Elephas maximus indicus: one gene and its partners. The protein of the gene in region 3 binds, or shares a complex with, the protein of the main gene of each other region. Links are inferred from orthologs where the notes say so. Each region holds a gene or a part of one and is shown on either strand. Other genes may lie near its edges.

What was found.
Region 1: SNRNP200 (region 3) and LSM5 share a complex: the UniProt entries of both Homo sapiens proteins name them as parts of the U4/U6-U5 tri-snRNP complex. The link is inferred for Elephas maximus indicus from reciprocal best matches to the Homo sapiens genes SNRNP200 and LSM5.
Region 2: SNRNP200 (region 3) and RBM48 share a complex: the UniProt entries of both Homo sapiens proteins name them as parts of the minor spliceosome. The link is inferred for Elephas maximus indicus from reciprocal best matches to the Homo sapiens genes SNRNP200 and RBM48.
Region 4: SNRNP200 (region 3) and BUD13 share a complex: the UniProt entries of both Homo sapiens proteins name them as parts of the minor spliceosome. The link is inferred for Elephas maximus indicus from reciprocal best matches to the Homo sapiens genes SNRNP200 and BUD13.

Annotation. Positions count from the first base shown.
Region 1 is NC_064826.1:94,010,432-94,017,619, reverse strand, and holds the start of LSM5 (U6 snRNA-associated Sm-like protein LSm5), read left to right. Parts: upstream 1-4,185; 5' UTR 4,186-4,242; coding exon 4,243-4,288; intron 4,289-5,524; coding exon 5,525-5,620; intron 5,621-5,938; coding exon 5,939-5,966; intron 5,967-6,890; coding exon 6,891-6,963; intron 6,964-7,188. UniProt on the Homo sapiens protein: Plays a role in pre-mRNA splicing as component of the U4/U6-U5 tri-snRNP complex that is involved in spliceosome assembly, and as component of the precatalytic spliceosome (spliceosome B complex).
Region 2 is NC_064826.1:62,573,379-62,581,328, reverse strand, and holds the start of RBM48 (RNA-binding protein 48), read right to left. Parts: upstream 3,004-7,950; 5' UTR 2,959-3,003; coding exon 2,848-2,958; intron 2,305-2,847; coding exon 2,114-2,304; intron 469-2,113; coding exon 323-468; intron 1-322. Other genes in the region: peroxisomal ATPase PEX1, read left to right, coding at 3,321-3,449. UniProt on the Homo sapiens protein: As a component of the minor spliceosome, involved in the splicing of U12-type introns in pre-mRNAs.
Region 3 is NC_064835.1:88,744,329-88,751,302, reverse strand, and holds the start of SNRNP200 (U5 small nuclear ribonucleoprotein 200 kDa helicase), read right to left. Parts: upstream 3,023-6,974; 5' UTR 2,899-3,022; coding exon 2,854-2,898; intron 2,366-2,853; coding exon 2,202-2,365; intron 516-2,201; coding exon 344-515; intron 1-343. UniProt on the Homo sapiens protein: Catalyzes the ATP-dependent unwinding of U4/U6 RNA duplices, an essential step in the assembly of a catalytically active spliceosome. Plays a role in pre-mRNA splicing as a core component of precatalytic, catalytic and postcatalytic spliceosomal complexes.
Region 4 is NC_064835.1:9,018,948-9,026,027, reverse strand, and holds the start of BUD13 (BUD13 homolog), read left to right. Parts: upstream 1-4,057; 5' UTR 4,058-4,129; coding exon 4,130-4,272; intron 4,273-6,052; coding exon 6,053-6,146; intron 6,147-7,080. UniProt on the Homo sapiens protein: Involved in pre-mRNA splicing as component of the activated spliceosome. As a component of the minor spliceosome, involved in the splicing of U12-type introns in pre-mRNAs.

The DNA of each region.
Region 1 (7,188 bases), on a different chromosome or scaffold from region 3:
AAACCAAACCAAACCCAGTGCCGTGGAGTCGATTCTGACTCGTAGTGACCCTATAGGACAGAGTAGAACTGCCCCATAGAGTTTCCAAGGAGCGCCTGGTGGATTCAAACTGCTGACCCTCTGGTTAGCAGCCGTAGCACTTAACCACTATGCTACCAGCGTTTCCTCAGGGCTCCTAGCGTGTCATAAATATACTTGTTTCACTTGATTTTTCGGATCTTTTGTGTAAGAGGGATCACGGGAAGCATCTGGCTATTCCGCCATCTTGGCCCCGTCTCCCCCTCCCTGCACTCTTAATTGTTTGATAACCTGGAAGCATATTGGTACAGCTATGTATCTGTTTATTCAGCCTTTTGAATTACTTGTTTATTCAAGATTTCTCTTTTACTTGTTTTAGATTTTTTCCCTCTCATTTAAATATTATGTATGGGAATTTGGAAGCCTTTTAAGGCCTGAAGCAGAACATCCTTGACATAAAGGAATTTTACAGTGAGACCTGTCACCTGATTATTCTAGTCCGCTGAATTTTTTAAAGTATTGTTTTCATTCTGCCCTTTTCTGGGCTTAGCATTCTGGTCAACACGAAACATATGGGATTGGTTGTGACCAGGGTTTTATATTTCTTTAGTGATTGTACTACTTTTTTTTTAAAGCATCGTTTCCATCAGTTTAAAGTGAATAACGGAAGTACCAACAGATTCAGCAAGTTTTATCCAGGGCACCCTTGGAATAACCTGAAGAATAGGTGCCCACTTCAAATGGAATTTGAGATTACTACCATAACTGGCTGTGGAGTTTACCATTACTATTTACACATCCCTTATTATTTTTTTATTTTAGGCAACCTTAGTAGTTGATATTTTCTACTCCTGGCTTTGAAATTTAAGGATCTGAATTCTAAGCATAGCTGAAGAAAACAGCAGACTTCCTAAAATCAAGTTTGGTTTCTACAATTCAGTAGAAATGTCTTAATACTAATAAAAATATTATGGATTTTTTCAAGATGTTACTATCCATTTCTTTTCTATATTTCAAAATTCTCAGCATTGGCTCACAACTGTGAGTGAAGCTACTATTCCGTATATGCAGAATATGTTAACTGTTTTTTTGCATCTGCTTCAGTATTCTCTACAACTGGCATCACTAAAATTAAACACTAAGCGTTGTTTTAAAAAGATTAAAAACAAGGTATCTTAGAACTCTGTATTGACAGTGTAATGCCAGCTTGTTTAATTCACTGTCCAGGAGATCTAGTAACAGTTTTATAAAAATGTGAGTCACTTTGCATCCTAGATGTTTCAACTAAGATTAAATCATGTATTCATAATGATATGTTGCTTAAATGTTTAAAAAAATGTCATTTAGAAGAATGCTATAAACAAAGGAAATATATTACTGGGCAAAACGGGAGAGAAAATATGCAAGGGAATTTCCAGGATTTTATCCATTTCTGAATGTACAGACCAGTCCATTTACTAGTTTAGAATAACAATTCTTTAAATTAGCTTTTATGTGAGTTGTGTTAATACAGAATGAATCCATTTTCAAGGTATTGTTCACAAGGACAAGTATCTGCTGGGAAAATAAATTTTTCCTTTGTTTTCAAAAGTGTTGGAAGAAGATTAGTGAAATTGAAATACCAATTTGAGATAACTGAATACTTTCTAAACATTATTTTAAAAGGAAACTTTTGGTTGTATTTTTATAATGGCATTTATCTCCAAGAGAAAAATTAGGAATGCCTTTCTGAACACATAGTACATCAGATAGCCTCTTCTAGTTACATACATTTCATGATGAATTATAAATTCTATTTTGTCTACTCTGTAAACAACCTAAAGGAAGAAAAATCCTTGAGATTGAAAACGAAGTCTCCATCTGGAATTGACCCGTTGTTTCTTTTTGTGCCTTTCATCAGGAAAGAACACAATCAAATAAAATCACTCCCCTCCTGCAATCTTCATTAACACTATTATGTAAATGAACAATAGTTCCTTCTATAGAGTCTAAAGAGATTTTCTTTTTTCTTCATTAAATGCACTGAAAATTGCTAATGTTCATTCTGTTCTTGTAGAGGAAAACAAAGTGCAAACCAGGCTCCCTTTGAAAAGCATATTTTTCTGATTTTTAAAAATTCTATCAAGTAGCAGAAACATAATAATGCCTAGAATTTGGTTCAGGCTGCATGAGGAAGCAGTGTCCAACAGTGACACTAGTTATTCTTTTCTTCCACTAGGAAAACATGCATCTGCCAAGTTGAGAATCTAGGGATTGGGAGCCCTGGTGGTGTAGTGGTTGAGAGCTACTGCTGCTGACAAAATGGTGGGCAGTTCTAATCTACCAGCCGCTTCTTGGAAACCCTCTGGGGCAGTTCTACTCTGTCCTATATGGTCGCTATAAGTCGGAGTCAACTCGGGGGCAATGGGTTGTTGTTTTTTAGCAGTAATGAATGCTCAGGTGTGTTATAGAGTAAAAACATCACAAAATTTAGTAAAGCAAAAAGGAAGTTTTATCAGCATATATTCAAAAAGGCAAAAGTGGGAAGCAGACAGGCATGCTGCCAGAGCTAATGTCTGCCCACGTCCAAGGAAATATTACAGAATAGACAAAAGTGGGAAAATGGACAAGCATGCTGCCACAGCCATGTCTGTCCAAGTCCAAGGAAATATTACAGAATAGGCAAGAATGGGAAAACGGACAAGCATGGTGCCACAGCCATGTCTGCCCGAGTCCAAGGAACATTACAGAATCATCAGTATATATTAACATCACAAACGGGCAAAACCATTGAAAGCTTCACCTTTTCACAGATTGGCTAGAAACTGTGATCCTACATTTTGAATTGCCTTTCTTAACAATCATTGATACAGGTTTCAGTAATAACACTCAGGAGGGTCTCGATTGGTCCAACCAATTTTCTATTCACTAAAGGCTAATACAAAAAGATAAAGAGTGGAAAGTCTTTTGTGTTCTGTTTGAATGGTTTACGTGAAAGGTTCACTAAAAGGTATTTTCCGAAATTATCCTAGCTATTGTCTTTATGCCTCAGGGCCCAGTTGATGTGCCCTTGTAAGTCCTTCTGAGCCCAGCTCCAGCTGGGTCACATTCTCTATGCTCAAGGACAGGGAATAATGATTCCAATATTATTTCCTAAATCAGGTGCTAGGTGAGACTAGCAATGGCTGTGATGGTTAAGTTCATGTGTCAACCTGACTGGGCCATGATTCATGGTCCTTTGGCAGTTACATAATGATGCAGTCATTCTCCATTTTGTAATCTGATGTGGGCATCTTCCGTTTTCAATTAATGACGATTTTTGCATAACAACTTGGTCTTTGAACCTAATCATGTTGACAAGTGAGTAGGTGTAATGCATATCTGTCAATGAATGAATGATGGGTGCTTAACAACCATTTGCTGTATGAATGAATGATGTTCTTTGTGATCCCTCATATTTAGACTATTTTGCCTGAGGTTCCTAGGACATGAATATAAAATAGAATAAGGCAGGGAATTTGTTTGCTATTATTTTCAAAACAAGTACAAAGTGCTATGGTTTTCCCATATGACATTAACATATAATTTAGAGTGACAGCTCGTGGTTGCTCTTAGTGTTCATTGAAGAAAGAGTAAAAAAAAGCCACATAGTATAAATTAAATTCTTAGATGTAACATGGTAAACACGTTGAATTAAATCAATTAGTAAAGAAACAAATTAAATCCCCACCACAGAAAAGTGAAAAAAAAAAAGGTTGGTTGTGGGTTTTCAATCCACTGGACTTTTAAAAGAAATAGTAAGCCCCCTTAACAAAACAGATTTTACAAAAATTGCAACACAGTGAGTTGGTGGCGAGAAAAATGAATTGACTTACTGGTCTGAAGAAAGATGCCCGACTTGTGAAGAGAGAGAACTTTCTGAAGAAAAATACAACGAAATTAAAGACTTTAAAATTTTCCAAAATCTTCCGGGTTAGAAGGAGAATTTATTCACAAGCCAAGATATCTTTAACATGCCTCCGAAACTTCGAGGAAAGAGAGGGTACCTCTCTAAGAGAAAAGTTCAGCGGACATAGATACCTCACCCGAAAGAAGCGAGTGTGCGCGATCTACAGGGCCTGGGCCCGATCGCTCTCTCGGCCTCAGATTGGTCAGGCCTGCCCGCGCAGGGGAAGAAAGCGGAAGCGCGCTCTTTCAAACTTGCCCTCCCTACCGCGATAGACGCAGGCCACTTCCGGCGCAGCCATGGCGGCTAACGCCACCACCAACCCGTCGCAGCTGCTGCCGCTAGGTAACCTTTCACGGGGGGCCGGGCGGGGAGCTGAAGTTCAAGATTGGGGGCAGAGGCGCTGCGACTAAGGTGGCGAAGTGTGGGGAAAAGTGTATCCGGCTTTTTCCTTCTGCTCCAAGTCTGTGGCCCCTGACCGCTCCTGCCTCAGCGTGATAGGTTCGCTTGAGGCAGCAACTTTTGACTCCCCAAACCAAACCGTCTCCGGAGAAAGGTTTATGCTTAATGAACTGAACGTGTAACCTGCCGTTGTTGTGAGCTCGTCTCTATCGTGTCTTGGGTAGCGGCCTCCCCCCACCCCCCAAACCTAGCATTTAAGATCTTCAGAGTAGGCTTTGTCTTATTTTATGTCTGGCCGGTTATTGAGGGAAGGTCAGGAATGAAATTTAAAAGAGGAATCTGGAAACTGGTTCCAGTTGTCATTCATTCAGCAAACGGTTATTGGAGCGTCTACTGTGCGCCATCCACCACAGAGATCATAACGACACTATTCAGCAGTATTCAGCAATTCAAATCACAGTCTTTTTCTTAAAATAATGCAGAAAACAGTGGAGGGAATGGATACTGAGCATTGTGCCGAATAGTGCTGAACTGGCTCAGTAGATATTCAAGCTGCTGTCAGAGTTCAGAGAATAGCCCTCGGTTGGGTGAGGCAGGTAGTGATAGGAATCTCTGATGAAGATAATTATACTCCTCTCTCCCCTAATATTTCGAGACTGGGAAGAGTGACCAAGTTAATAGACGAGGCTGTGCTTGAAAAGTTTCTATTCCTTCATTTGACACTCTTTGAGTGCCCGGTTGATTGCAGGCACGGCCGTTGTGAGTTGGAATTGACTTGTCGGCAACCGGTTTCTCTCTCTCTCTTTTTTTTTTTGCGGGGGGGGGGGTTGTCCATTGGGGATACAGTGATGAGCAGAAACAAGCACGGTCTCTACCCTCGTGGAGCTTAGAGTCTAGTAGGCAGTTCATATATTATTAAATAACCTAAAACACAGAAGTGCAACCATGGTAAATTGCTACAAGGGAGAGTTAAGTAGAGATCAAGGGAAACTTTTCTGTTAATGATCGAACAGAGATTTGTAATATAAGAGCTAAAGTTGTTGAATGAATATTTTTCCTGGTTTGTCTTTCACTATATGCAAGTTATTGAGTGCCAGTAGGCACTCAAATATTTGTTGAAGTAATGAATTGCTGAAATAATCTTTTTCCTCTCTCTTTTTTTCCTCAATATATTCTTAGAGCTTGTGGACAAGTGTATAGGATCAAGAATTCACATTGTGATGAAGAGTGATAAGGAAATTGTTGGCACGCTTCTAGGCTTTGATGACTTTGTCAGTATCCTTTTAAAAGGTGGTGGATAGGTTTTTCTTAGGTATTTAATAACGTAAGTAAGAACTATAGATAATCAGTATTTACTAATTATTATATTAGAGATCAGTTCACTCTTGGGGAACTTGTGGTAACATTTTAAGAGATGTATGTACTGAATCGACTTGACAGCAGCAGGTATGTACTGACCGAAGATAAAGTTTCTACCAATAACGAGAGTTGAAAATTTAAGTCATTGTGTTAAATGTTATCACTAAAATTGAACAAAGACAAGACAGAGTAAATTCAGACAGGTATGTTTATTTTCCTAACACCAAATTTCAGATATGGTATTGGAAGACGTCACTGAGTTGTAAGTAGTGTTAAAAATGAAAAGTTTGGAGGAGTATTGCTCTTCTTAATTTAAGGCAATTTTAATACTATCGAGTCAGTAAAATGATTTACAAGTAAATATTGCCTGTTGGCATTATCTTAAAGATGGAAATTTTATCTACTGATGCTAGTAAAATTAGATCAGAGGGTTATTAATATAATTATTATCATGTTGCTAGGAAATTAGTAGAGACAAATCTTTAAGATGAATGATACTAAAAACTGCTCAGGTCAAATAAAAGACTGGTAATAAAAACGTTTAACTGTGTAACATAAAATGTAAATGATGGCTCAGTTGTGTTAATTATATAGATCATGACCAATATCTCTGCTTTCAAAATTGAACTGATTACAAATTGCTTTAATGGCTGGGAGAAGCCCTAGTGGCACAGTGGTTAAAGCGCTTCGCTGCTAAACAAAAGGTTGGTGGTTCTAACCTACTAGCTGTTCTGGGGGAGAAAGATTTGGCAGTCTGCTTCTGTAAAGATTTACAGCCTTGGAAGCCCTATGGGGCAGCTCTACTCTGCCCTATAGGGTCACTGTGAGTCGGAATTGACTGGACGGCAGCGGGTTTGGTTTTTAATGGATGGAGATGAGCAATAATGGATGTGTTAAAGAAAAAGAGTGAAGCTGGTAAATATTTCGTATTTGGCCTCCTTGGCAAGTTTCAGCTTTTTTAATGAAGATCGAACTTAGTGGATGTTAGGCCAGTCAGTTCACTCTTACCTTTAAGGAAGAGTGTACATTACCCAGTGGATAATCTTGATCTTTGAAAGTTTTTGATATAATTGCTTCACCTCACATTTACTTACATAGAAGAATAACCTTTTTAGGGATGGAAAGATTTCAAAATGTTGGCTTTTATTACCACTGTTTAACCTGACTATTTTATCTATTTATTTAGCGAAATCACACCGGAAGGAAGAAGGATTACTAAATTAGATCAGATTTTGCTAAATGGAAATAATATAACAATGGTAAGACACATTGAAGCTAATACTGTTTTATTTAACAGTAGCCCGTTTTTGTAGGACGGTGGTTACAGATCTAACTCCTGATGCTGTTTGTTTGACTAAATGCCCATGGACCAGTATGCTTAGGATGGGAAAGGGATGTTGTGGTAGTCAGGGCGCTAAAGCTGAGCTACTAAATATGGCATTGGGCCTAGAGATTAGCTTGTTTGGCCTTTTTCATTTTGTTAG
Region 2 (7,950 bases), on a different chromosome or scaffold from region 3:
TCCTATTCATTTATTCGGTATGTCTTACTTTTAAACATGCAGTCTAGCCTACCTTCCCATCTCTTCCTCTCTCCTTCCAGCTAACGTCTACTACTTATTCAAAACGCAGGCACCTCTCACATCCTGTAGGAAATCTTCCATGAACCAACATGTCTCCTTTCCCAGCCCGGTTTACGTAAAGTGCTTCACAGAAGCCTGTGGCTTACAATTACTTAATATTGTGATTGTTTACTTGCCTCTCCTTCCATGGGAACTCCATGGTGGTATACCTAGTAGAGTACCTGACATATAGGAAGCGTTTAGTTAAACAGACTTTCCATACCTTTATTTTTAGTAGTTCTTATTATATAAGCCTTTCTCTCTTGTAACTTTTTTCTAGTTTCTTCAACTGTCTCAAATTCTGGAGCGTAGCAGACGTGAAGCAATCCACCAAAGAAACTCTGTTCATCCATTTTTCTCTTTGCTGTCCTAAACAAATACATGATAGCATGGTTTATTAATCAAGATTTAAGCTTAACTATTATACAATAGGTTGACCTAAAGAGCAAAGTCCACCTTTTGTTATGTGCCCACACCTCCTCTGGTTTGGAAATTAAGATGTGCTGCTTGTGGGTGGTACTAACCCTACTGATCCAGGACTGTGGTACATACTTTTGGTGACTTTTGCCACCTCTTCCAATAGTGTTAACAGATTTTAAGCTATCCACATATACCCAGACTTCCTTTAGCCAATTTAGAATCTAGTTGGCTGGCCTGAGGTACACAATCTGTAGCCATGAAATAGGGCTTTTCTCTGTGTTAAGCTAAATAGCCCTTGAGAATCAGTTCATACCCAAACTAGCCTCTTTAGCACATTGTGTTCCTATAATCAGATTCATACATTAAAAAGTAGTTTAAAATATTGTAATAATAGGTACTGTAAATATAGTACTACTGTGTCCAGGGATAACGATAAGAAACACTTACTGTTTACCACATGCCAGACAGTGTCCCCAGTGCTTCAAGTGAATTTACACCTCAAAACAACCCAATGGTGAATTAGAGGCACAGGGAGATTATATAGCTTGGCAAGGTCACACAGCTGGTTCAGTGGAGCTAATATGCAAATCCAGATGTCTAATCTAAAGTTCACTGCACTAAGTGCTGTAGAAGATGCAAAAGCTCTAAAAAACACCATGGGGTGCTGGCAAGATGGCTGGGAAATGAGATTACATAAAAGAGCTGCCTTAAAAGAATCATAATCCTATAGAATCAAGTGCTTTTGTGACATAGTATGAGTGCTATTGGTAGTACCGAAAAAATATCAACTGTTTTAGCCAGGGAAGAATGATTCTTGGAGCAGATTAGTGACAAGAGTAAGGGTCAACATGAAAAACAGATGAGGCATTTCATACTTCAGCCTTATTGGAGCAGAGAATTACACAGCAAGCTGGATAAGATGGGGTCAATCCACACACGGCCATAACAATAAGAACGTCGATAGTTAATGTTACTGCATTCTGAATAGGAGGTGCTATGCTAAGCGCTTTATATGAATTGTCTGATTTCATCCTGACCCAACCTCAAGAGATTTACAAATGGATTTTACAGAAGAGGAAAACAGGCTTAGAGAGGTTAAATAACTGGTCCAAAGTCATAAAAGCAGTGGGACTGGAAAATCTACTCCAAACCCAATTTCTCGCCTACTATACTACACTGTAAAAAATGGTTAAGCATGGAAATGACATGATGGGAGCAGTGTTTTGGTAAGGCTAACCTTTAAGAAACTGTCCTTGGGTGGTACAAACAGTTAAACACTCAACTACCAGCCAAAAGGTTGGTGGTTCAAACCCACCCAGAGATGCTTCAGAGCACAGGCCTGGCCATCTGCTTCTGAAAGGTCACAGCCTTGAACACCCTGTGGAACAGTTCTAGTCTTCACACATGGGGTCTCCATGAGTCAGAGTTGACTTAGTGGCAATTAACAAACACCACCACAACAATAACCTTTAAGAAGACGGAAGGATGATATGAGAAATACAGGATTAGTTCAGGTAAGAATGAGGGAAATCTGAGGCCAGAGTGATAGCAATGGGAATGGAGGAAATAAGACATGGCTTAACTTGCATATTACCTTGCACTTTGTAAATTCAGAAATTTAATAAGATAAACTTCTGTGAAGTCTTCTGCTGGGTATTCATCTAGAGCATTATACTGTTCAATTGTACCATATAAGGCAAATCGCTCAACTAATTCCTTCATGGCTCCCACTGCTGGAACTCCTTGTATTAATAAATACCGAGATTCTAAATTGATTGTATATACCTAAAAGAAATGCAGATTCATTAAACATACTTCACAAATAAGCCTAGAACAAACGTCCTATTTTTTTTTAAACAGCTTTGAAAACATACTGTTCAGCACAGTTCGCAGAAAACATACAGAATCAGAAACTTTGCCACGTTCTGCATAAATAATTCACCCTACGTTTGAGGGCCTCGGACTAAAGCACACATCAGTCTACCTTCAGTCGACAATTTTTCCAGACGTTAGATCGGTAGAAGCGGTTCATGTTTCTGGGAAGATTCGCTCGACGAATATTTAAGTGCTTTCCACGTGCCGTGCACTGTTGAAGCACGGAAAATACAAGGAATAAAACAAAATCCTGCTTATGCAGAGCTAACGTCTTAGTGGTTGACTAAAAGAGAGCTTTGGTGCCTGCTTCGCGGTTACTCACACTCAACTCCAATGAGGGACGGACGTGACAACAAACAGCCTTGTCAAGCCTTTATTTACACTTTTAGGAAGGCGGAGCGAGCACACATACGTAAAGCTACCAAGAAAGCGAAAAAAACAAAATTACTTTACCTTGACGGCGCGGGGCCGTCGTCCCTCCCGATACTTAGCCCGCGTGTCGCATACAGCCTTCTGGATATGATGTTCGAATAAGCTCCCAAGCTCCCCACTACTCGACGCCATGTTGTTAGCTTCGGCACTCGCAGAGAAGACAACATCTGCCTTGCTGACCTCCCTTTCATCCAATAAGAAAGCGGGATGCGTCAAGACGTGACCGGATTGGCTGGAGCATCGACAGTGTCGGCCATCGTTTCCTGCGAGAGAAGATACGGTGAACAAGATGCCGCCCCCTAGTGGCGCGGCGGAGAGCCAAGGAGGGTGAGTGAAGGCTAGCCTGTCTCTACCCCCTCAGGCGTGCGGTGGGGTGCGCTGCCGGAGAGGGGGAAGGGCCAATCGATTTTCTCCGGGACCGAGGCCCTCGCCTGTCCCGTCCCAGGTCGGCCCCGGCTCTAGGGAGGGCGGCCCGGAAGCGGTGCTCGCCGGCGATGTGGGGCAGTGATCGACTGGCGTGTGCGGGGGGAGGCGGGGTAGCCGTGACAGTGGCCTTCACCAACGCTCGCGACTGCTTCCTCCACCTGCCTCGGCGTCTAGTGGCCCAGCTGCACCTGCTGCAGGTAACGCTCCGGACCCGGGCGGGGCCCGGACCAGGGACGCCGCGACAGTCGCCTGGAGTCGGAGGTGGCCGAGGCCTTGTAGGGATACGGCAGCTGTTCAGGGCTCTCCGCTGCGGGGGAGCCTACAGGGGCACCACTGGCTTCCCGGCGCCGCTGGCCAGTGCAGAGGTCAGATTGAAGGCCCCTCGAGGGCAGGGCGGTCTGAGCAGTCCATGCTACCCACCCCCATGCCTCGTGCAGCCCCGGGCCATTAAGTTACCTTGCTTATCCCAAGTCTTCTCACTCGGTGAAACTGGGCTTTTAAAAATCCTCTACCTGTTTTTAAAAAGTCTACCTCTGCGTTCAGAAATACTTCTCACTCCGCGTTGGGAAAGCTTTTGAAAAGTCGCTTATTTTATCGTTTTAAAAATGTTTTCCCTGCCAGAGATTTCCAGGTACCTGCACTGCTGCTGTCTGGGCCTCGAGAGGGAGGAGACAGACTTTGTGGAGTCCCTGTACGTTAATGGAGCTCTGGTGGCACAGTGTTTAAGAGCTACGGCTGCTAACCAAAAGGTCAGCAGTTCTGATCCACCAACTGCTCCTTGGAAACCCTATGGGGAAGTTCTGCTCTCATCTGTAGGGTCAGTATGAGTCGGAATGGACTCGATGGAAATGGTTTTGGTTTTTATTGTGTGTTAACGGGCTGAACACCTCCCAGGAGCGGAAAGCAGAAAGGTTAATAAAATGATGGGTATTCCCTGCGCCGCCATGTGCCAGAACGTGCAGTGGAATTAGGTATACTTGGAAAGATTACTTGGATGTTGTAGTGTTTCGCTAGTCCAACCACGGGCAGAAATACAGCATCTGTGTTTTCATAATTAAACATACAGGCATGTGGTCTCACAAAGTATGAGTGCGCTTATGGGGGCAAAAGGATAAAATTTTATTTTAAATCCTGAAGAACCCTGAATGCATGGTATCCACACTGGATAATTCATGCAAGAAATATTTTAAGAATTTGCAATAATGTCAAGTATCTCACCTTTTCACTTTGTTGTTGTTGTTAGGTACCATCTAGCGGGATCCAACTCATAGCAACCCTATGTACAACAAAACTAAACACTACTGGGCCCTGCACCATCCTTACAATCCTTGCTATGTTTGAGCCCATTGTTGCAGCGACTGTGTCAGTGCATCTCATCCAAGGTCTTCCTCTTTTTTGCTGACCCTCTTAACTTACCAAGCATGATATCCTTCTACAGACACTGGCCTCTCCTGATAATATGTCCAAAGTATGGGAGATGAAGTCTTGCCATCTTTGCTGCCAAGGACATTCTGGCTGTACTTCCAAGACAGACATGTTCATTCTTCTGGCAGTCCATAGTATATTGTATTCTTCGCCAGCACCACAATTCAAATGTGTCAGTTCTTCTTCAATCTTTGTTATTCATTGTCCAGCTTTTGCATGCAAATGAGGCCAGTGAACACGCCATGGCTTGGGTCAGGCACACCTTAGTCTTCAAGGTGGCAGCTTTGCTTTTTAACACTTTACAGAGGTCTTTTGCAGCAGATTTGCCCAATGCAGTATGTCATTTGATTTCTTGACTGCTGCTTCCATGGGCATTGATTGTGGATCCAAGTAAAATGAAATCCTTGACAACTTCAATTTTTTCTCCATTTATCAGAATGTTATTTATTGGTCCAGCTGTGGGGATTTTTGTTTTCTTTATGCTGAGGTGTAATTCATAGTGGAGGCTGTAGTCTTTGATCTTCATCAGTGTCATGGATTGAATTGTGTCCCCCCAAAATATCTGTTAACTTTGCTAGTCCATGATTCCCAGTATCGTGTGATTGTCTAGCATTTTGTCATCTGATATGATTTTCCTATGTATCATAAATCCTTCCTCAATGATGTTGATGAGGTGGATTATCAGCAGTTATGTTAACGAGGCAGGACTCATTCTATGAGGTTAGGTTGTGTCTTAAGTCAATCTTTTTTGGGATATAAAAGAGAGAAGTGAGCAGAGAGACATGGGGAGGTCATACCACCAAGAAAGCAACACCGGGAGCAGAGTGCATCCTTTGGACCCAGGGTTCCTGGGTGGAGAAGTTCCTCGACCAAGTGAACCTTAATGACAAGGACCTTCCTCCAGACCCAGCAGAGAGAAAAGGCCTTCCCCTGGAGCTGGCACCCTGAATTTGGATTTCTAGTCTACTAGACTGTGAGAGGATAAACTGTTTGTTAAAACCATCCACTTGTGGTATTTCTGTTAGAGCAATACTAGATAACTAGGACAGTCAGTAAGTGCTTCAAGTCCTCTTGGCTTTTAGCAAGCAAGGTTGTGTTATCTGCATATTGTAGGCTGTTAATGAGTCTTCCTCCAATCCTGATGCTGTGTTCTTCTTTATACAGTCCAGCTTCTTGGCTTATTTGCTCAGTAGTATGGTGAAAGGATACAACCCTGATGTACACCTTTCCTGATTTTAAACCACTCAGTATCCCCTTGTTCTGTTCAAATGACTCCCTCTTTGTCTATGTACAAGTATCTGCATAAGTGCAATGGAGTGTTTTGGAATTCCCATTCTTCACAGAGTTACCCATAATTTGTTATAATCCACACAGTTGAACGTCTTTGCATAGCTAGTAAAACACAGGTAAACATCTTTCTGGTATTCTCTGCTTTCAACTCAAATCCGTCTGACATCAACAAAGATGTCACTTGTTCCATGTCCTCTTCTGAATCTGGCTGGAATTTCTGGCAGTTCCTTGTTGATGTACTGCTGCAACCACTTTTGAATGATCTTGAGCAAAATTTTACTTGCGTGTGATAATGATATTGTTTGATAATTTCCACATTCTGTTGGTTCACCTTTCATTGGAATAAACATAAATATGGATCTCTTCCGGTTGGTTGGACAGGTATCTGTATTCCAGATTTCTTGGCATAGACAAGTGAGCACTTGCAGTGCTGCATATGTTCGTGGAAACATCTCAGTTGGTATTCTGTCAATTCCTGGAGCCTCGTTTTTTGCCAGCGCCTTCAGTGCAGCTTAGACTTCTTTCAGTACTACCAGTCCTTGATCATATGCTACCTCCCAAAATGGTTGAATGTCAGCCAGTTCCTTTTGGTACAGTGACTCTGTGTATTCTTTACATCTTCTTTTGATGCTTCCTGCATCATTTAGTATTTTGCCATAGAGTCCTTCAGTATTACAACTTGAGCCTTGAATTTTTTCTTCAGTTCTTTTAGCTTAAGAAATGCTGAGTGTATTCTTCCCTTTTGGCTTTCTAACTCCAGATCTTTGCACATTTCATTATAATACTTTGTCTTCTCTGGTTGCCCTTAGAAAGAATTCTGTTCGGCTCTTTTACTTCATCAGTTTTTCCATTCACTTCAGCTACTCTGTGTTCAAGAGCAAGTTTCAGAGTCTCTTCTGACATGTTTTTGTCTTTTCTTTCTTTCCTGTCCTTTTTTTTTTTAATTCGTTGTTGTTGAGACTATACACAGTAAAATATACAGTGATTCAGCAGTTTCTACACGTACAATTCAGTGACTTTGATTACATTCTTCCCATTGTGCAACCATTCTCACCCTCCTTTACTAAGTTGTTCTTCCCCCATTAACATAAATTCACTGCCCCCTAAGGTTCCTCTCTCATCTTGCTAGTTGCTTTTGTCAATTTGATCCCATATAGGTAGTTCTTAAAACAGCATAATGTTCAAGGCAGACATGTTTTAGTAGTTAAGCTAAACTATCATTTGGTTTTAAGAAGACTTCAGGGAATATTTTTGGTTTAAGGTTTAAAGATTGTCTCAGGGCAATAGTTTCAGGGGTTCTTCCAACCTTCATGGCTCCAGGAAGTCCGGAGTCCATGAGAGGTGTCATGGATTGAATTGTGTCCCCCCAAAATATCTGTCAAATTGGCTAGGTTATGATTACCAGTATTGTATTATTGTCTATCAATTTGTCATCTGATGTGATTTCCCTATGTGTTGTAAATTCCATCACTATGATATAATGAGGTGGATGAGTGGCAGTTACGTTGATGAGATCTACAAGGTTAGGTAGTGTCTTAAGCCAATCTGTTTTGAGATATAAAAGAGATAATCAAGCAGAGAGACATGGGGACCTCATACCACCAAAAAAGAAGCACCGGGAGCAGAGCACATCCTTTGGACCTGAAGTTCCTGCACTGAGATGCTCCCAGACCAAGGGAAGATTGATGACAAAGACCTTTCTCCAGAGCCAACAGAGAAAGCCTTCCCCTGGAGCTGGCGCCCTGCATTCGGACTTCTAGCCTACTGGACTGTGAGAGAATAAACTTCTGTTTGTTAAAGCCGTCCACTTGTAGTATTTCTGTTATAGCAGCACTAGATGACCAAGACAAGAGGGAATGACATAATCTGAGATAGCAGTTTAAATTCTTGGCTCCTACTAGACTTCAAATTCAACCTGTGGTTCTGGCTAAAATGTCAGATTAAATGAAGAATGAGTGAAGCATGTTAGACTTAGTAACTGGA
Region 3 (6,974 bases):
CTTCTGGAGACAGACTACCTGGGTTCATCCTGGCTCTGCCAAATACAACCTCTGTGACTTGGGGAAATTACTATTCTGTGCCTCACGTCACTCTTCCGTAAAATGGAAAATGAGTATTAACTGCACCTTATCTCACAGAGCGAATGTGAGACCTAAAAGAGAACAGGCACGGAAAGCGCCATCCCACATGAAAAAAACGGTCACTTAACGTGGGCCGCCGTTATTAGTCCTTCTGCCAACTGGTGTGGCCCATACAGGCAGATCCAGAGACAAGGCTCTTCAGTGATCCCAGCTGTGACCTTCTCCCTTCCAAATGCCGGTCCTCACGCTCTGGCTGCCTCACCTGGTCCCCGAGCGCAGCCTGGATGAAGCTGAGCAGCACCTCATAGGTCTCCCGGGTCTCCTTAGTTTTGGGCTTATAGATGATGCCCACCATCTCGTCAATGCCCTCCGACAACAGGGTATAGCCCTTCATCTTGTTGATGTCATGCCGGTCCTCGTCACGCTTTCTTCGCCTAATGGACACACAATATGATGTTCAACAGAGAGAAGCTTCCCTCGCCAAGCGAAGGCTAAATCAAACCCACACCCCTCTTTTTCAGTTTTGTGATACACACCTATATCTGAAAAGAGAAACCTGTACCTCAGCAGATGATTCCCACTTGACCTTAAGTCCCTAGCACGAGACATTTCTTGATGGGACTCATCGACAGAAAAGGAGCCCTATGGTGCACCAGCTGCGCTAATCGATACAATGAGATAGCCTCCTCATTCATTTAAAAGAATCACTTCGTATGAAGATCTTATGTAACCTGATCCTGGCTAGTTTTTCACCTCTCATAGACATTTCCTTTTCCTAGCCAGAGAAACGGAAGCTCCAAAGGAATCCACTGCTCTTGACTCCTGCGGTGTGAGGACTGATTTTATGTGGCCTTTCTAAGCATGGTCTCATAACTTCCACCAAATGACTGAATGTGACTACAGAAAGAAAGTGCTTGTGGTCCACCAAGGGGACTGGACAGCTTGCTAAAAATGCAAATAAGGTGTGTGGCACCCGTGGGGGTGGAACCACGCACATATGGTACGTGGCCCCCTAATGAGGGGACTATCAGTTTTGCCATCCCACCATGCTTAAAATGAGCTCATCCCAGAACAGAGCGGGGCTTCACTACCACCAAGAAGAAGAGATGGGAGCAGAGTGCATCCTTTGGACATGGCGTCCCTGCGCTGAGAACCTCCTAGACCCAGGAGACAGAGAAAGAGAGCTCCAATGTCGGAGACAGTGCTGCAGCAGGGAAACGGCAGCAGCAGAACCAGGAGACCAGCACCAGACAACACGGTAGCCACTGCAATGAGTTATCGAACTCAGCAGAGCAGCAGACAGCTCCTGAGAGGGCTGGCCGGTGTCAGAACTGGTAAAAAGACTGGAGGATCAAGGGCTGTCTGACCTCCATCTCATAGCGATCAGCTGGCTGATGCTGATGGTGAAGCTCTCCCTAATCATAAAGTGAGACAAAAAGAAGGGTGACACTGCCACCATGCCATTCTTACAAACTCCCAACAAGGTACAATAAAATTGGAAAAGAGGTCATATGCTGCAAAATGGAAAACTAATAATCTATTCACTCATTTCAAATATAACTACTTTAATCAAAAGTGGGCCTAGGAATTTTTGAGACTTTATCACAGAGAATGGAGGAAACACAGAGATGTTCGGAAAAAAACGGTGAGATAAAGTTCAATCATTGTCTAGGTTTTGAAATACCTCAAAAAGTAAAGAAAACTAAAAGGAAACAAAGCACCTTTAGTAATATGACCACTAAATGTTAGTTGTAACAACAAAATAGCTGGGAGTAGGCAAAAGCAGAAGAAAGAAATTGAGGTGAAAAGTTAATAATGGAAGAAGAAAAGTTACTGAGACAAGGAAACTTGAAAATACCCCATAAGAAAAGATCTGTATGTGGACCAGAAAGAGATTACTAAAAAAAAGTAACAAAGAGTTATTTTCCACTGCAAATGTACTCACCTAGGCCAAAGACCCTTTAGCTCTTGCGTTCTGTGTTTACCTTCACTAAGATAATTTAATAACCACCGAGGTGTCACCTTGCACCAAGCATTTCTGCAAAATATACTTGAAACTCAAATGCTAAAGAAAACACGGGCTCTAAATGTGAAGAAAAAAGCTTTCCCTTGGTACTCACTTGGCTCTTCTCTCCTCCTGCATCTGCGGCTTGGTCCGCTGAGCTTTATCCCCCATCCGGGTGCCCTCCAGCTTCCCAACCAGAGACAGCACCTCTCCTGTGGGTTCATCGCGGCGGGTGCGGTCAATGAGCGAGCGGTCAGCTTGGAGGACGAGATTCGAGTTCTGGAAAGATCACATTGTCGGAGCTCTGACGTGAACAGGGCCAGCTGCTAATTACGGGGACAAGAGCTGGTAATACCTCAGGACGGGCCGAGGCCACCAAGTGCTAACAGTCCCCAGACGGAGTAAATAAACAGTTTCCTTCAGAAGCGACGGCACCGCGCGAGACTGCGGCGGATCAAGGGCCGAGTTCGGCTCTGGGCTCGGCCCGTCGAGCGACCTGACCCCCCGCCGCCCACACAGCGCGCGACGGCCGGCCTGGGCGGCGAGTGTCCGCAGGGCCCGGCCGGCGCTCAGGGGCCCGGGGAAGCCCTCCGAGGAGGCCCCGGCCGTCCCGCCCGCCAGGCCCAGCGGGCGCCCACAGGCCGTGCAGCCCCACTTGCGCCCGATTCAACCTCCCTCCACCTTCGCGGCTCGCGCGCCGGCCTTCCTCGGCCTCTCGCTCCCCACCCGGCTCCCTCGCCCGGAGTCTTCCCCTAGCCCTCACGCACCGCTTTGTACTCGTACTGCAGGCTGCGGGCGGTCACATCCGCCATGACTGCAGCTCAGCCGGGCCCTCAGGGCTCCGCGCCGCCGCACCACACGCCGCGAACCGCCGCTCCCGTTGCCACAGGCCGGAAGACGCAAGAGGGACGCCCGGAGAGGAAGACGGGAGCTCACTTCCGCTTCCGGGTCGCGCGCAGAGAGTGTGGGGAGGGCACGTCTCCGAGAGGTGGGCGGGGCTGGCGCCTCTGAGTCTCCGGTTCCCCGGATCCCGCGACCCCTGCACTCTGGTTCCTGCGTCCCTTCCGTCGGCCTTCTGGCGCGGCGGACTCAGTGACTCTACTTCCCCACCCCCTACCTGCGGCCCTCAGGTCGTAACGGAACGTACACCTGTCCAGCCCGCTGTGCTGACCTAGACCCTTCTCCACCCGCTTCTTCCTCTGACTCTCGCCCTGTGAGGTAGGCACTCTAGGAGACTGATCACCCCCTTCTCCGCCTGAGGAACCCGAAGCACCCAGCGAGCGGGAGTTAGTCTGTGTAATGGCTACTTTCCTTTGGGTTCCGCAGCTGTATTTAACTCAGAATGGATCAAAGACCTAAATGTTAATCTTAACACCCTAAAATTCCTGCAAGACAATACAGGGAGAAAACTGTGGGACCTGTATAAGAATAGGATAACACATACAACAAATGCAGGAAGAAAATAGATAAATGGGCCCTCGTAAGGTTAAGAAAAAAAAAAAACTTACCCTCATCAAAAGACTTTATTGAAACAGTAAATAGACAACCTAAAGACTGGGAAAAAAAATCTTTGGAAATGACTTCCAAAAAGGGTCTAATCTCTAAAATCTATAGAAAACTGCAACAGCTCAACAGCAAAAAGGCAACCCAGTCACAAAATGGGCAAAGAACGTGAACAGAATCTTCACCAGATAGGACATCCACGCGGCCAACAAACATATGAAAAGATGTTCACAAGCATTAGTCATTGTTGTCAGGTGCTGACGAGTCAGTTACAACTCATTGCGACCCTATAGGGCAGAGTAGAACTGCCCCATAGGGCTTCCAAGGAGCGGCTGGTGGATTTGAACTGCCGACCCTTTTGGTTAGCAGCCGAGCTCTTAACCACTGGGCCACGAGGGCTGTCCTTAGCTGTTAGAGATGCAAATGAAAACTGCAATGAGAAACCCTCTTATCCCTCTCCTCCCCCAAAAGTGGCATTGATTAAAAAAAAAAAACAGGTAACAAATGTCGTCAAGGATGTGGGGACACTGAAACCCTTATCTGTTGCTGCTGAGACTGAGAAATGTAGAACAGTATGGCGCTTTCTCAAAAAAGTAAGAATAGAGCTGTCGTATGATCCAGCAACCCCACTTCTAGGTATAAAACCAGCCTGTTGCCATCGCGTTGATTCTGATTCATAGCGACCCTACAGAACAGAGTAGAACTGCCCCGTAGGGTTTCCAAGGCTGTTACCTGTGTGTAAGCAGACTGCCACATCTTTCTCCCGCAAAGTGCTTCTGTCAAGATTTACAGCCTTGGAAACCCCATGGGGCAGTTCTACTCTGTCCTACAGGTCTCTGTGAGTTGGAATCAACTCATCAGCACCAGGTTTGGTTTTTTGGTTTTTGTTTGTTTTGGTTTATACACGTGGACCTCTCGACTACATTTATGGAAAGAAACAACGGAGAAGCTCAACATCATCAGTAAGAACAAAGCCAGGGGCCAGCTGTGGAACAAACCATCAATTGCTCTTATGCAGGTTCAAGTTGGAGCTGAAGAAAATTAAAACAAGCCCAGGAAAGCCAAAGTACAACTTTGAGTATATCCCACCTGAATTTAGAGACCATCTCAAGAGCAGCTTTGACACATTGAGTTCTAATGACCAAAGACCAGATGAGTTGTGGGATGACATCAAGAGCACCATACATGAAAAAAGCAAAGGTCATTAAAAAGACTGGAGAGACATGAGGCAGTTTTACTGTGTCCTATAAGGTGGCTATGAGTCAGAATTGACTTGATGGCAATGGGTTGTTTTTGTTTTTGCAAAGGAGAGGAAAACCCTCACTGATATTGTTACTGAGCTTCTTTATTCTTTAAAAAAAACTTAAAAAAAAAAACCTGTTGCCCTCAAGTCAATTCTGATTCATAGCGACCATATAGGACAGAGTAGAACCACCCCATAGGGTTTCCAAGGAGCGGCTGGTGGATTCGAACTGCCACCCGAGCTCTTAACCACTGCACCACCAGGTCTCCATTCTTTACTTACCTTTCCATGTATTACAAATACCCTAAAAAAGTTGTAGGAGTAGGAGGAAGGTGTTACTCTGTGGTTCAGGTATGTTATGTACATGTTTAAGTTTGGCTCTTTGATTATCTTCCTAAAGAAGGGAAACCATCCTCAAACTATTTGTGTTGAGTTTTTGAATACTGTTTTAGGATAGACTATACTTCAAGTAATGAAATTCTGCATAGAGGACCTATTCGGAAGTGGGGAAGAAACCATCCAAGCTCTCTTGTTTCTTATTCCCATTTGGAAACAGACGGCCTGACCTCTCAGTCTGGTGTAAAGTATTGGTCTATAGAGAGCTGTTACTTTGCCCTCCCCACTTTTTTATTCTCAGTTAAGAAAAATAGTACATTGCTGCAAACCAATCAATCTTTAAGAGAAATCCCTGCATCCATACCCCCAACTTCTTTGCAGTTATTATTCTCCCCCCACAAATCTAAGTAGTTTTGGAAAAAAAGGACTAGGTTTCACACCCGTGTGTCCCTGACACCTCATCCCAATCTTTCCAGGCAAAATAAATTTAAAAAAATAGCTTTACAGTTCGCAAAAGTGCTTCCTATACGTGCTCATTTCATAAACGTAATAGAATACAACCTGTAAATAGATTTCAGTTCGCTACTGGGGAGTTTATTTTATGGTCAGTATATCGTGAATCTTGCTATCGCCTGGTGGCATCTCATTTTTAAGACTTCTTCAATTATTAGTTGATTCATAGCACAGAACAGGATACAAAGTGGAAAGAAAGCAATGCTCTAGTGTTGTAATTGCTGACTTAAAAATAGACTTTAGAACTAAATGTTTGATTATAAAATTTACATGGAAAAGTAAAGAAAAAAACTATATTTTTAAAGAAAAGAGAATATTCAGGCTTTATTTCTGGTATGAAGTTTTTTTTCTTTTTTAAATCCTATATCATCACACCAGAGATTTTAGATTCTTTTCTGGTTACAAACATTGCTGGTAGTTGGATTATATTTTTAATGTATTCATTTCTCTTAGGAGGAAAACTGTAAAGAAACAAAAAGTTTCCAGATGAATGTATCCTAGAAATAAAAGTTGAAATATTCTTTAAAAAAAAAAAAAAATGGACGTCAGAAGAGAGCCACCAGAGCGGATGACTGCAATGAAAAGTCTGAATATGGTCAGTGCCACAAGGGGCACTGTGGGAGACAGGGAAGGTAGAGTCACTCTGAGGAGACTTGGAGAAACTTCGCAGAGAAGACAGCATTTGCCCGTGGTGTAAAGGCTGGCTAGGATTCAGTGAGGGGTGGGGGGCTTCCGAGGGCGGGGCACAAAAAGAGCTAAAAGCATGGAGCAGGGAAGTCAGGCATGTCCTGGGAGCTGTCAGAGTCAGTTCACCTGCCTGCGGCAAATGTAAGCAATAGGAACAGGGTGGCTACACGTGTAGCTGGGAATCTCTTTATTGAAGAAATAGTCTCGTAGTAAAGAATGCTTACTTCAGCCAGGAGGTAACAGAAAACCATGGCAGGTTTCTGTTTCTTGTTTGCTTGCTTGTTTTTCACACCTGCATAGCAGATACTTGATTAAGGAGACCAATGTTCAGATTAAGCAAAAATTTATTGAGTGCCTATCACGTGACAAAGAGCCCTGGTGGTGCAGGGGTTAAGCACTCAGCTGTTACCTAGTGGTCCGAACCCACCAGCTGCCCCACGGGAGAAAAATGTGGCAGTCAGCTTCCACGAAGGTTTCAGCCTCAGAAACCCTATAGGGCAGTTCTACTCTGGCCTATAGGGTTGCTATGAGTTGGAATCCACTCAACGGCAATGGGTTTAGGGTGTTCTTTTTTTAGATCATATGACAAGCATTTGCAAAGTACTG
Region 4 (7,080 bases), about 80 Mb from region 3:
CTGGAATCTCTGCCTCCTCCCTCTTCCTGAAATGTATTTGTTTCTAAAGGTTCTGTTTTCAGAAACCTGCCTGTATTGGATTCTTTGGCATTTATTACTTCCATGTAGGACTGACCCCCATGCCTGAATACAAGGTTTTTTTTTTTTTTTTTTTTTTTATGAATTTGGAGACTAAGGTTAGCGAATGACTCGCTCTTGCAACTATAAACTATAATACCTTGATGAGATTTCTCACGTGCAAGTATTCTACTTTAAGAGACTGCCTGTAGATGTGTTTTCAGCTGACCAGGGAACCTGACTTTACCAGACACCGTTTGGGTCTATCATCTGGTGAATGCCCTGTGGCGCGGGTGGATGTGCTCTGTGAAGACGAGCCCCAGTGTCAGCTTCATCTTCCACTGTGAAGGGAAAACAAATGGCATTCTGGTTTGTCAGTCTTCTGAGTTTGGTTGGCATGAGGCAGTCCCCCAGTTACTGGGAAATGATATCCTGCAAGACATGACCAGGTTCCAGACTGGGATAACCCAGCTAAGGTACTCCTTGCTCTTTGATAGGACAAAGGCCTGGCATCTTTCATTTTCACACTTTTAAAGTGTCCCTGAACTCTTTCAGTCACGTTTCATACAGCCTGCCCGAGATGGAAGCCTACATCTGCTTAACTTTGTCTTGCCCCACATTCCCTAGCATATGGCATACAGATGATCTGTCATAATCCTTGGCTGATGTTTGTGAATCCTTCATCCTGGATCCAGCCCTTTGGGCACATGGAGGTAACAAGGGCTCTGCTCTAAGGCCAGGGGAGGTGAGAGAGTCAAGCTGCCGGCCTAAGAACGTGGAGATTTAATTTCACAACCATGAGAGTAAAACTTACATGGGAAGTTTTGTGATTATATTAAAAAAAAGAAGAGTTTATTTTGAGGGCATTCTATCTACTTTACCATATTTCATACATGTTAAATACAGCTATATTTTATATTTGGTCATCAGACCTGTGAACATACAGGTAGGTCCTGAATGTGTACCTGTGTCGTCGTAATGGAGTAAGTGGTGGAGATGTGGTGAGTGCTGGGAATTAGTATGAAGGGCAATGACCTCGCTAACTGAAAGCTTCACTGGTGGGGTGAGGAAGACTTCTGTTGTTACGACACTGTCAGTATGTTTCTGTCTTCATACACCCGTGGTATGTCAGCTGCCTATTGCACATTGCAGGGAATACCATGTCTGCTTATATTTAGGGCAGTGGTGTTTAAGACTGCTTGACTTCATTCTTTGTTGTTATAGTAAAATACACAACAAAATATACCATTTTAACCATTTTTAAGTGTACAATTCAGTGGCATTAAGAACATTCACTGTTTCCAGAACCTTTTCATCACCCCAAATGGAAATGTTATACTCATTAAACGGTAACTCCTGATTCCTCCCTCCCCCAGTACCTGGCAACCACAGTTCCTGACTCTATGAATTTATTGGCTGCTTCTTATTTTTTAAAAAATCTGCACACTTCTCCCCACCCTTTACAGAAAAATGGCAGCATTTTTAACCATAAAAGAACGAGGCAGTGCTACTTAGTCTGCATATTTACTTTAGAGTTTAGAAAGTCCACTAGTATGGGCACCTCTGCTGCTTTGGTTTCCTGGTCTGTAAAATGGGGATAAAAATAATGGTACCTTTTTTTGTAGGGGCTTTTGGGAATTAGCTGAGTTAATAATTGTGAAGTGCCTTTTATTTGTATTTTCTCTCATCAATCCTTAAAAAATTCTGAAGTGTCTCCATTTTTGCTTTAAGTCCTTTTTGGGAAATAGCTATAAATAAACAAAATTATCCCCACTTTACAGGTGAGGAAACAGCTTCAGAGAGCTTAGATAACTTCCAAAATGAAGTATAGTTAAGAGGCAGGCTTCAAATCCAGGCCAATCTGACTGTGCAACTTGAGCTCTCAATATTTTGAGCTCATGTCCATAAAAATAATAATAATAATAATAATTATTATTGCCTTATTCAATGCAACTGTAGAGAGAGGGCAAAGCTCAGACCATGCCACCAGACATGCATTTTCTTGGTCCTGCCTAATTGCCCTGTGAAGCAGACAGGGTTGGGATCCATTGAGGTTGGGTCTTGTCAAGCCAAGGTTGAGGATTGGGTAGAATGGGTAGGGACAGAACTGAAGAAGCCAGAAATGGTCAGGAGATGGGTTGGCAGGGCCCAGAAGGGCATACTGGTAATATCGACTAGATTGGAAATGTGAGCCTTTCCAAATGCCTGTTGTCATCAAGGTGGAGGCAGTTTGAGACTAACAAATTGGACTTTAAGCCAAGGCAGCATTGCATATGGGGGACCTGTAGAAACCTCTAGCTAGTGATGCCCTAGTTTCTCAATGTCTCCTCATAACCCCTCAGGGACCCAGCCTGCTTTCTTTTCTGGGCTGGTGTGGCAGCCACTCAGATTATAGCCCAGTGCTTAGAAGTTCATTCTTCAGAGCAGTGGTCTTCAAGAAATACGAGAATGCTCTTTAGATGCAAGGATGGCACAACTTTGGCTTGCTTGCTTTGGACATATCATCAGGAAAGATCAATCACTACAAAAGGACATCATGTTTGGTAAATAAGGGAAACCTTAATGAGATGGATTGACGATAGTTGAAACAATGGACTCAAGTCAATGTTCACGAAGATGGCGCAGGACTGGGCAATGTTTTGTCTGTTATACCTAAGGTCACCACGAGTCAGAGTTGACTCGGCAACTAACAACAACATAAACGAGTTTTTGAGCATGTATCGCAGTGTATGTGTATTTAGTTATAAAGTATGACAATGCCTACTTGACTAAAACCGACAAAATTTACCTTATAAAAAGAAAATATCCAGTCTAATATTTTATTTCAAAAAGTTTGGATCACGTTTTTTACTGCACTTCCCTAACCTCTGCTCCCAAGAGTCCTGTGGCTTGAGCTTGAATCCTGTCTTTGCCACCTTTTTGCTGTGTGATAACGGGCAACTTCCCTTATCTTCTCCAAGCTTCCATCTCCTCATCTGTAAAATAAGGATGATAAACCGAGAATAGTTGTGAGGGTTTAAATGAGATAATTCAAGTACTCTTGTCTTCTCCCCCCAAGACTTGAGTATTAGAATTTGATCTCACAGGCTTTACTCTTTGGCTGTGCTGAAAGCAGGTCCAGGTCTTTTTTCAATGGAAAGATTTACACAATTTCCTTCAAGAGGTAGATAGGTGCAACCAATGAAACTGGATGTGCAGAAGTTACACAGATTTTAGAAACCTCCGTATTTTTCACAGGAATTATACTGGGTCTAGGAGTTCCTGGGTGGCACAAACAGTTCAATGCTAGGCTGCTTGTGGAAAGATTGGCAGTTTGGACCCACCCAGAGGCATCTCGGAAGACAGCCCTGGCAATCTGGCTGCTTTCAGCTTTGAAAACCCTATGGAGCAGTTCTACTCTGCTACACGTGGGGTCACCATGAGTTGGAAGCGGCCTGACTAACAACATACTGGGTCTGAAGTTCTTGATCTCCCCTCTTGAATGTACCTGGAAGCTTGTTAAACTTCTCCCCACCTAAAGATACTTACACTGCTAATAAAAATAACTATCGGTAACTGCGCCAGACACTGTTCTAAGCACGTTACACAGTAACGTCATCTCAGATCTCGCAATCATCCTGATTAAGTACTATTATTGTCCCCATTTTGTTAAATAACTTGCCCAGGTTTTACAACTAGGAAGTTACGGAGCCAGGATTCAAACTTAAATACCCTGTAACTCCACAGCCTATGCTAACCACTACGTATATGGTGCTTTGAAGCTGCTGGAGGCAGATATCTCGTTGGGTCGTGATTGTAGCCTCAAGGCTAGAACGGCGCTTACTGCAAAGTTTGGTGAATGAACGGATGGACACACAATAAGGTAACGTCCTCACAAGTACGCACAACGGGCCCTAGACGTGCCTGCACTTCCGGTTGGTCCACGAACGCGTCACCCGGGAGGTCTCCCCGCCGGTGCTCCGACGCTCCGCCAGTTCCGGGTCTGGCCACGCCCCTCCCGTCACTGCCGTCCGTTCCGCGTTCCCTAAGTTTGACCCCAGGGGCGAGCCGTCTCCCCGCCCGCGCCGCTGCCATGGCGGCAGCTCCGCCGCTCTCCAAGGCCGAGTATCTGAAGCGGTACTTGTCTGGGGCAGATGCCGGCGTCGACGGGGGCCCCGAGTCCGGTCGCAAGCGTCGCAAAAAGCGGGCGAAGCCCGGAGGGGCCGGCGGCAAGGGGTGAGTGGGTACCGCGGGGGCGGGCCTGTGGCGGCCCTCAGCCTTGGTCTCTGCGCCGCCGGCCGGGGCTCTGCCTGCTCTCCTCGCCGGCCTGGGTCCTCCGCTCCGCCCGCTCGTCCGCCCGCTGCCTAAGCTCAGGGCGCGCGACTCGGGGCGCCGGGGCCTGGGCCCGCTGTGGCTGCCCGCCTTTACCCTTCGCGCTGCTGAGCAGCGTCTTCGGTTGTTTAAACTGGGCTGTGACTTCCATGACTCTTTTCCCGCTTTGGTAGCCTTCCGACCCCTCCGGAGTTAATGAATATCGTGCTCTGAGAATGGGGGTGGAGCTAATTCAGTGCCTTGGTGCTCGGATTTAGGGTCCTGAACTTGCCCGTGGGGTTCTCAAAAGTCCCAAAGGCTTCGTGATCCTGAGTCGGAGAGCCCTGGTCACTACTGCTGCTAATGCCCCCAACAGCGACTGGCACGTACACACTTCTTGCCGTATGTCAGGCACCGTTCTAGGTACTTTACACATACATGAACTTAAGCTTCACAACACTACCACGGAGTCGTTATTGTTATTATCACAGTTTTACAAACAAGGAAACTTTTGTAGCCCAGCGGTGTCAAAGGGTTCCAAGGAACTAATCTATTGCCTTTCCTGGTTTGATTCTGTTTTTTTTTGCTTTCTGTGTTTTTGGGTCCCTTTCTCTCGGGTGGATTCTTTGGAGGCAGTGCGATGTAGTGAAATAGCTTAGCTTTGGGGCAACATTGTTCAGAGTTTGAATTTTACCTCTGCCACTTTATAGGCTGTGTGGCCTTGGGCAAGATATTTAATCTCTCTGAATCTCAGTTTTCCCATCTTGAAAATGAGAATAATAGTAAATAATACTGCTTGTATTAAATGGTTTTTGTGATTTAAAAAAATCAGCTGCCACGGAGTTGATTCCTATTCATTGCAAGCCCATGTGTCATAGTAGGACTGTGCTCTCTAAGGTTTTCAGTGGCTGATTTTTCAGAAGCAGATCACCAGGCCTTTCTTCCAAGGCACATCTGGGTAGACTCTGGCCACTCAGACTTCCAGCCTTTTGTTAACAGCTGAGCACATTAACTGTTAGTACCTCCCAGGTACTATGTTGTTGTGATTAGAGATGATTTATAAAATATCCCTGACTTTTCAAATAATAGCTATTCATGTGATGGCAGTTAATGTTATTTCCTGTCATCTATAGTTCATCCCTGTAACACACACTTATTGAATACGTCACATGCCAGTTACTGCAGGGTGTCGACAAGGCCTCTATGAACAAGAAAGACGTAGTGCCTGTTCTGATGGAGCTTACAGTTTATTGGAGATACAGGCCTTAAACAACTGTTTACACAATAAATTGATTCCTTTGTGGTAAATGCAGTGAAAGTATTCTGAGTGTGTGTAACGGGGGTTCTTAGACTTAGGGGAGAGGACCAATCAAGGAGGGTATGCCTAAGGGAGTTAAATTTATGTTGGGACCTGAAGAATGAGTAAGAGGTTTCTGGTAAAGAATGAGGAGAAGAGCAGGTCAGGCAGAGGGAACTGGTATGTGAAAGTTGATGTGGTAAGAAATTTGCCTCGTTTCAGGTGCTCGTGAGGTAGTGAACTGAGAGGGCAGCAGTATAAGATGACGTTGACCACCTAGGCAAAGGCCGGATCACGCAGGAATGTGTAGGATTTTGAACTTTATTCCTAAAACCAGATGGATAAGTGCTCTTAGGCTGTTATCCAAGAATGATTTTTCTTCTTTTATCTTTTGTTTTTCACATTTAGAATGCGGATTGTGGATGATGATGTGAGTTGGACAGCTATCTCCACCACTAAACCAGAGAAGGAGGAAGAGGAAGATGATGGAGATTTGCCTGTGGTATATATCTTTTGGGGCTGTCGGAACTTGGAAATGATGTAAACCTCCCAGTCTGTACTCCCAGTGCAGGACAGATTTGTATGAGGGAAATTTGAGGGCAGAGAAGAGATGCCATTTTCCAAAGAGCTGTTTAAAATAGTCTTCTTTGACATATGCCTCTACACTGACTTCTCTGTTTATCCAGGGACCCATTAGCCTAGAAATGGGAACCAGTCACAGAGCAAGGCAGGACTTCCTCAGCATCAGTGATAGAACAATAACTAGAATTAGCAACAGTTCAGTTTGTGGGAATCCAGCTTCTGAACAATGTTCGAGTTCAGTTATAGAGAACTTTTTATTTGCACCCATGAGTCAGAAACGACTTGACAGCAACTAACAATAGCAGCAACATTCATTGATTTAACTAAGCTTTAAAATTGTATAAACTTGCCTAAGTACTGGAGATATGTAGATTAATGGAATATAGTATCTGTACTTTAGAGAGCATACCCTAGAAGGGGAGACTGATTTTTTTTTTATTGTGGTGAAAATACGTACAAAAAACATTGGCCAGTTCAACAGTTTATACAGGCATAATTCAGTGACGTTGACTCTTTTTGTTATACAACCCTCATCACTATCTTTTTCCGAATTATTTTACCACCATAAAGATAAGCTTAGTGCCCTTAAGCAAAAATTCCCCCTTTTCCTCTCCCTTCCACCTTTGGTAACCACTAATTTTGGTTTCTATATATATGCTTATTTCATGTTAGTGAGATCATACAGTATTTGTCCTTTTGTTGCTGACTTATTTTGCTCAGCCTAATGTTTTCAAGGTTTATCCATTATTGTGATGTGTATTAGGACTTTATTTCTTTTTATGGCTGAGTAATATTCCATTGTATGTGTGTACCACATCTTGTTTATCCATTCCTCTGTTGGTGGACAGTCCGAT